2 linked regions of the Danio rerio genome follow. Each later gene encodes a partner of the first gene's protein in a complex. Links are inferred from orthologs where the notes say so. Each region holds a gene or a part of one and is shown in the gene's direction. Other genes may lie near its edges.

The links.
Region 2: the proteins of prpf40a (region 1) and sf1 are in contact, whole or in part, in an NMR structure (PDB 8PXX), measured with the Homo sapiens proteins. The link is inferred for Danio rerio from reciprocal best matches to the Homo sapiens genes PRPF40A and SF1. Residues at the interface, in NP_001352526.1 of Homo sapiens: His164, Ser166, Tyr172, Tyr174, Ser181, Thr182, Trp183, Tyr213, Tyr215, Ser222, Arg223, Trp224; in NP_004621.2 of Homo sapiens: Pro575, Pro576, Leu577, Pro578, Pro579, Gly580, Ala581, Pro582, Pro586, Pro587, Pro588, Pro589, Pro590.

Annotation. Positions count from the first base shown.
Region 1 is NC_133184.1:4,703,519-4,707,346, forward strand, and holds part of prpf40a (pre-mRNA-processing factor 40 homolog A), read left to right. Parts: intron 1-1,652; coding exon 1,653-1,717; intron 1,718-1,827; coding exon 1,828-1,992; intron 1,993-3,828.
Region 2 is NC_133182.1:22,788,379-22,792,681, forward strand, and holds the start of sf1 (splicing factor 1), read left to right. Parts: upstream 1-1,453; 5' UTR 1,454-1,589; coding exon 1,590-1,836; intron 1,837-2,715; coding exon 2,716-2,844; intron 2,845-4,303. UniProt on the Homo sapiens protein: Necessary for the ATP-dependent first step of spliceosome assembly. Binds to the intron branch point sequence (BPS) 5'-UACUAAC-3' of the pre-mRNA. May act as transcription repressor.

The DNA of each region.
Region 1 (3,828 bases):
TTTCATTCTTCTGCTTTTCTCTCCTCTCTGTGGATCTACATTTATGTTTTGTAATAAGCTTTTAAATATCAACAATAGCTATTTATTAATGCTATTAGACATCTCACCTTTCATTTCAATACATGCAGCCTAGAGCTGCACAATTAATCGTTAAAAGATCGCGATCTCGATTCGACCCCCTAGACTATCTTAATCCAGTATTTCTACGATTCTGTCAATCATATTTTCAAGTTCAGGAGAGAAGAAAAGGCGGCTGCACGAGTCTTTTCACTGTTTCACACACGTTGCTCAGTGACATTGACACCTCCAAATGATGTTGAATGAGTCACATACTGAATTTATAAGGTATAATTCACCTAAAAATGTAATTTTTGTCTTAATATAATGATGCTTTCGCAATCAGGAAATTACACGTGACGTGTGCTGCTGACCGTGAGCTGTTATCACAAAGAGGGCGCACACTCTACTTAATGATAGACGCGCGCTCTACTTAATGATAGACGCGCGCGTCTACTTTAGTGAACAGAACCTGCATATGTTGCGAGTAACGGGTAATACACTTGCAAATAATATTCAGTTTTTGGCACAGAGTGATCGGTTGGGAGCCGCGCGCGAAGTATGAACAAGCACTTAGCAGTCAGAATGAAACTGAAAGTGTGCACTTCATTTAAATGATCATATCGCATTTAAGAGTTATGATTACGACAAGCATTTGATATGTTTTTTTCTTTCATAGCGAACCCACAGTTGTGCATGAAAATAAAGGTTTACAATGTCAGTATAACTACTCTAGCCTATATATTGTTGAATATAATCTGATAATGGCAAATGTCTGATTTTACCAGTGAATAAATTTGTCTAATGTGACAGATTGCAAGCATATATCTCAAACATAATAATTCAACATCAGAATTATTATAAGTAGAATAGAATTATTTATAGAAACCAGTAGACCTACACATAATATTATTATCGATGTTGTGCCATATGTTTGTTTTTACCATACCTTTATTTTACATCTACAGAATCGTGAGAAAATCATGATCTTTATTTTAAGCAAAAAAAAAATCGTGATTCTCATTTTAGCCAGAATCGTGCAGCTCTAATGCAGCCATGAACATAATCAAGACGCTTAATTGTTCTTTATGAAATCTAAATGATTTATTAGCATAAACAGCCCTGAGTGAGCCTATTCTGCTCTGGGAGTGGGAGTGTTGAACTGGAACTTGAAATGTTTGAAGTGGCCTTTGTTATTAAAGTCGAGTTGACGTCAACGCATTTTGCAACATGCCACAATTTGCAGTTGATTTGCAGGAAACATGTGTTTACATGCTGTTTGACAGCACACACTGCAAAACAATGCAACAGTCAAAAAGGCCAAAGATAAATCTTCATTCATTCTGGACCACCCCTTTACCATGTAAATCATTCGCGCTTGACGCTTCATCCTCATCTGGTGTGAACGCAGCATTAGAGTGAAACTGATTTTCGTTCAAACTAATTGATGCAAACTACACATGGTTAATGGACAATTTATTTATCGCCCAGCCATGATAAAAATGCACTTTATTCTTCCCAATCAAAATATTTCTTCCAACCCTGTGTTGTGTTTTTTGTAACTTTTCTTGTTTTTCCCTCTTTGTGGCCTACAGGGCGTTTCTTCCAATGCATCATGGGAGCAGGCAATGAAGCTGATAATTAATGACCCTCGTTACAGGTATCCAAATACTGCACAGCATTATTGGCATTTATTAGCGTTTACATCCTGCGCCGTTAAACAAATTTGTGCGATTCTTCACTGACGTCCCTTTCTCTGTGTGTGTGCAGTGCTCTGCCAAAGCTCAGTGAGAAGAAACAGGCGTTCAATGCTTATAAAGTCCAGACAGAGAAAGAGGAAAAGGAAGAAGCCAGAATAAAATACAAGGAGTCTAAAGAGACTTTCCAACGCTTCCTGGAGAACCACGAGAAGATGACGTCAACCACACGATACAAGTGAGTGTATATACATTATATACATGTAACTTTATATACAACTGTCTGAATAATGGACACTGTAAGATTTGGTAATGTTAAAGTCTCTTGTCACCACATTTAATCCAAATACAAAAAAAAAAAAAGAAAGACATTAAGACATTAACTTGCCATTACTATATATAAAAATTAAAGAGCCCCTGTTATGTTTTTTTTTTTTTTGTTTGTTTTTTAAATGACCTTCTATGTAGTGTGTAAAACAGCTCTGAGTGTTGTGAAATATCCAGCTAAGGCTCAAATCTGAATGTGCACAGTGTTTAAAACTATTGATTCATCTATAAAAGAGTTGACTCATAGTGCTTTAAATTAATCGTCTTGATAACGAGTCTTTAGGCGTTTTGACTGAACTTAAGCCCAGCCAATTTGTTGCGCTCGCAAACACGGGAAAATTTAACCCCCTGGCCCACAAACACTGCAGCAGATCCTGGTTGAATCAAGTCATGAAGACGCTGTGCTCAGCTTGATATTATTGGAAGTATGAGAGGAAAGTTAGTGTTATTTTCTATACACAAAGATGAAACTGTGAAGAGTCAGTGATTGGAAGTTTATTTTTGCAAAAATACCTCAGCATCATAGCCCGAGCTGTGTGCTGTGTTCCCGTCATTTTTCTGACCAGTGCTACAGCAATCTACACCCTTACAAAGGGGTATTCAACAGCCGTTTGTTAAAGGAAGGATCAGAAAAGACTATTGATGTGTGGGACTTTGGGCATTGGAGCTTGACAGGAACTTTACAGTACACAGTTCATAGATCAGTTTCGATTAAAAGCGATTAAAATGGCTGCCTCCTTGTTTTCTCTAGCTTGCAAATTATGTATTTAATTGTGTTTTGTTACTTGTAACTGCGCGTGCTGTATCAGGTTAACTCTTTATATTCTCATATCGCGTCTAATGCCACATTGAAAACGTGCCACGTGCCTCTTTGTTTACTGATTTAAATGCGTTTGTGAGCTCGCGTTCCATTGCCGTTTGTCATTGCTATGGCCATCATCAGCTGTTCCTACACATGTGAAGCGGTCAATTTTCAAATAGTTTAGCTTTGGGCATTGTGTTGATTATTGCTGAATATGTGTCACTGTTTTTACTTAGCATTATGCTAGTGTTCAACTGCACTGCTTTAATGCACTTTTACATCGGGCTCGCACACATACCTGCCAACATTTGTCCCTGAAAATCCGGGAGACCGGGGGGGTTAGGTTTGGCGGTTAAGTGTCTGAATAACACTGAGATCAGTGTACTGTGGTGTTAGTAACTACTATGAAGCGTGTTTCGGGCGGCCGCTGCGATCGGATCTGGGATGATTGAAATTACGGGAGTTTTCCAGGAGAAATAACAAAATAGGAGGGTGGCGGAAGATAGGTCTGAAATATGGAAGACTCCTGGGAAAAACAGGACTGTTGGCAGGTATGCTCACACACATACTATGCACTTTGACTACTTCAATATTGTTGATAAGCCGTGGTGGCATTTCTCTAAACGATGTTGACCAATCGCAAGAGACTGTCATCGGTCCAATCAGCGCAGATTAGGTTTGCTCTAAGGAGATAAATAGGTAAAAATAGGGATATTTAGGGATAATTAGGTAAAAATAAATGCATAGTATAAGACAATGAAAGTATTTTTTGACCTTGTATGCATATCAGCCTGTTGTTGGAGTCCATTACAACCAAAATATTACCCTGTTTAATGCATAATAGGGGCTCTTTAAGAAATGGGTGAGTAGAAGATTCTTCTTTCAAGCATAATGACAAGTGTTAATGTGTCCTAATGTGTGACTTGAAGTGTATCCCATGAAGAA
Region 2 (4,303 bases), on another chromosome or scaffold:
GATGCCCTTCCAGCTGCAACCCATCTCTGGGAAACATCCACACACATATTCACACACACACTCTTACACTATGGACAATTTAGCCTACCCAATTCACCTGTACCGCATGTCTTTGGACTGTGGGGGAAACCGGCGCACCTGGAGGAAACCCACGCAAAGGCAGGGAGAACATGCAAACTCCACACTGAAACGCCAACTGAGCCGAGGTTCGAACCAGCGACCCAGAGACCTTCTTGCTGTGAGGCGACAGCACTACCTACTGTGCCACTCCTTTGCCCGTTATTAATTCTAAGGGTTCGAATTATACAAATGTAGAATAATTAGCAAGGTCAGGATATAATGTAACTCAGTAGTGTAAATGGGAAAAAAATAAACTATAATACAAATAAAATCTAAGTTTTAAATGTAATTTTATCACTCATATAGACATACTGTATCTACCAAAACCTGACCTGCACAGTAAGAGTAGATAAGATACAGCTGTGTATATGTATATCATCATTTTTTGTGACACTGTATACCAATAATTAACATGTTTACAGTACTGTGACGGTTGGATTTAGGGTTAGGGTAGGGTTCATTTATTTTCATGAGCTAAAGGGTTCATTTAATCCCTTTATTTATCGGGGGTCGCCACAGTGGACAGAACCACCAACTTATTCAGCAAATTAGCAATTCCAGCGTTATGGATGTGACATTTGCAGTAAAATCTCAGAAACAATGCTCATCAAAAGGATAAGAGTTGGCTCATTATAAAACAAAAATGATTGATTTAATTTAATTTGACATTTTTCCATTTACTAGGCAAAATCTTCGTTATTGATGTGACAGATGTGGAATTGCCACTCATGTGATTTTGGTAAGTCAAATATAATAGTTTGAAAACATTAATGGAGACATTTTTGAGTATTTTAAAGCACAAAAACCCAGAAACAGTTTTGCTATTTTGTCGAAATCTTTTTTATTTATGGCAAGGTTGACATTTGCATGGAATTGCTCCTATGTTTTACACAGCGGATGCCCTTCCAGCTGCAACCCAATACTGGGAAACATCCATACACTCATTTATACTCATTTTCTCCACACAGAAAGGCCAACTGCCAAAGCTGGGGCTTGAACCAGTGACATTCTTGCTGTGAGGCGACAGTGCTAACCACTGTGAAAAAAACACTGTCGCCCTAATAAAATATGGGAAATGTAATTTTCGTTGTCTGCCAGCCATAACCGTATCTGATCTAGCTACAACCTGACCACACCGCACAGAAAGAGCCAACCTATCCTGGAACATATGGCCGGCTTGGCGACCAATGAGAGGTAAGTAAATTGCTCCGACGGAAACACGACAGACCTTAAATGATCCAATGAATGTTCCCCAAACACAGATTGACACGACTATCGACCAATCGGATATTTCTAAATTGACGTCAAAGCTCCTTTGTCGATCTCAGCGGACGCCATCTTATCCAGCGGGTGACAGAAGAAGGTTGCGTGGTCGGAGACACGCGTTCGTATCAATTGATTTATCAACAAAAGAAACGGATACATTCTGTGCAGATATCGAACCACGAAGAAGCCCCTGACGCCCAGAAATGGCAACGGGAGCTAACGCAACCCCGCTTGGTAAGCTGCACCCGAGCATCGGCGCTAAGCGAGGCTTTGACTCTGGCCCCGGTCCGGGGTTAATGCCTCCGCCTGGGCCTTCGGTGCCTTTCCCGCTGCAGAACTTCCAACCGCCACAATTATCAAATCCTGGGTTCCCGCAGTTTCCCGGAGCCGTGAGCTCTGCGCTCTCAAACCCTATCGTAGTAGGACAGCAGTCTCAAGCGGGAGGCGGAGGTAAACACCGTGGACAGGCCTTGACTCCTTCAGGATCAACGGCCTCCATTTATAAAAGTAGAATGGCTGGTTACCGTCATTAATAGTCTTACTTGTTTTTACAATGCCATTGCATATTAAAAATCTTTGGAATGTGTAATTATTTAACATGTTCATTTGGGGGATCAAAACTTAATCTAACGTTACACGTTAAAGTATTGTGTTGTATTTAACACTGAACTCTGAAATGAAATATGATGCAGAAAAATCTATTGTTTTGAAATCGAGCAGTGTTAACATTAGACAATAAAGTGCACACTGTTTTTTTTAATATAGATTTTTTTTTTTCAGTTTAGTGCATAATATGGTATAAAAAGGGTTGGGAGCTTTTACACAGCAAATGTACATGCCCAGACTGAACAAAGATGTTTATTACATTGCAGTGTTTATATGGCTAACGATGTTAAGTTAATATAACGTGGCATTTAGCAGCAAACTGCTTGCTTAAACTGCTAAAAACCTTAGAATGCTGTCTTAAATATTTCTTAAATTATTAGTATGTTTCGTAATATCACTTTTATGGCAAAGAATAAGTCCTTTTCCAGGTCTTTAAAGTAAAATATTTCAACATAAACAAGAGAGGCAAAGGTGAAAAATTGATGGAAATTTCAGACGGCACTTAAGAGGTTTTTGCATCTGAACTCTTCATATTTATAATTTCTTTTTAATCAAAGAAAAAATCCTATGTTTACTTTTTAAAAGTGTAATAATTCAATAAATTAAACATTTTGCATCATAAAGACATGGTGAACGTTTCTGTGAAGTTTTGGTCTTAATTTACAGGCTTTAGACATCCACAAATCAGACATAATGGCTTAATTTGTTTACATCCCCTGTCAGATTTTGGACAGAAGAAACGGAAAAGAAGTCGCTGGAGCAGCGAGACCCCTGATCAGAAGACTGTTATCCCGGGCATGCCCACCGTGATCCCTCCTGGGCTGACTCGGGACCAAGAACGAGCTTATATAGGTGAATATCTAAAATTTGCTATTACAACATCTGTCAGAGTCATAGAGTTTAGGTTGCAAATAATTTTGTATGTGAACGGGGGAATATTCTGTCTACACCCAAACAAGTCACTTTTTTTTTTTTTGTCCCAAAACTTGTTTATAATTTTTTTTCTCACAGTTTGCACATCACATGAAGGATGTAACTGCTTAATTTCATTAGTCTGACTTCTTTGCTGATACAACTGATGTCAAATTAGTGAAAGAACCTTTATGTTAAAGCAACAGTTCAAAACGGTCATCTCTATATGTCTCAAATGACTTTATAGAAATGGTCTTCTCAAAGAAGTCAATCCATCGAAATTCAGCACTTTGCCCCATATTTACTAGAATGCACTAACTCCATCAATGTGCAATGTGAGTGCCATTTATTTATTTTTGTTCGTTTAGGACACACTGAGGTATTGGTAGCACTGTCAATGTTTGCATATACCATCTGATGTCCATTAGCAAGAACCCACTGTGTTTTCTGATGTTGCTGCTTGCTGTGAACTGTCTCCAGCTGCAGAACTCCATCACTGCTCATGTTTACTATGCAAAAAATGTCTCGTCCAATTCGACTGCGAAAGCAATGCAGGTCCGATACTGAATTGCTAAAGTCATCTCCATCCCCTTGTGTCTGAAAGCAGTGTGTAGTAAATTGCTTTCTCATTGCTGTCAGGCACTTGTTTTGCAGTAGCATGTGGTGTAGTGTTTGTTTCGACTATAATGTGACCTAGACCTACATCTCTTTAACTACTCCTCCTTTTGACAACTGACACCTCATGTCTCTTACCCACCATCAACCTGCACCATTCAATGTGGGGTCCGATTCTCTTAAGCATGTCATAGAGAAATGCATGTGAAAGCCCATGAAATGCTTCCATGAGTGATGCAGTAATTTGGTTGGTTACAGGTCAGTCTTTGGGTTTGTACAGGCTGATTTGGTTGGCGTGGCTTGAGGCCTTAGTAAAATAAATTGCATGATAAAACGACCTGCTAAAGGCTGATCTGTTTGTCTTAGAACTTATTTATAAATATTGGATTTTACTTAATTGAGTAGTGTTTGTAACTACTGGTAAGTTGCTGACGTGTCAATAACTTGAGTGTTGAATGTAATTGTTTATGTATTGGCTTTTCACACCCAGTGTTAATGACTATTTTTTTAACATAGTAATTTAATTTCATTACGCTGGTGTTATTCTATAACTTTTTATATGAGGATGCATTTGCTCAAGCCATTTAGCCAATATGTTTTTTGATTTCTTCAAACACAACTTTTTTTCCCCCCTCGACAGGCCTTCATGTTTTTGCCACCTTTTTAGCTCATGTGAACTAATGTTTTTAAGGATATGCATAATGTGAATTTTACTTCTCAGAGTTGGTGGCATAAAATGGAAAGCCTGTTGCTATGATCTTTTTCTGAAATTGTTATTTGCTGA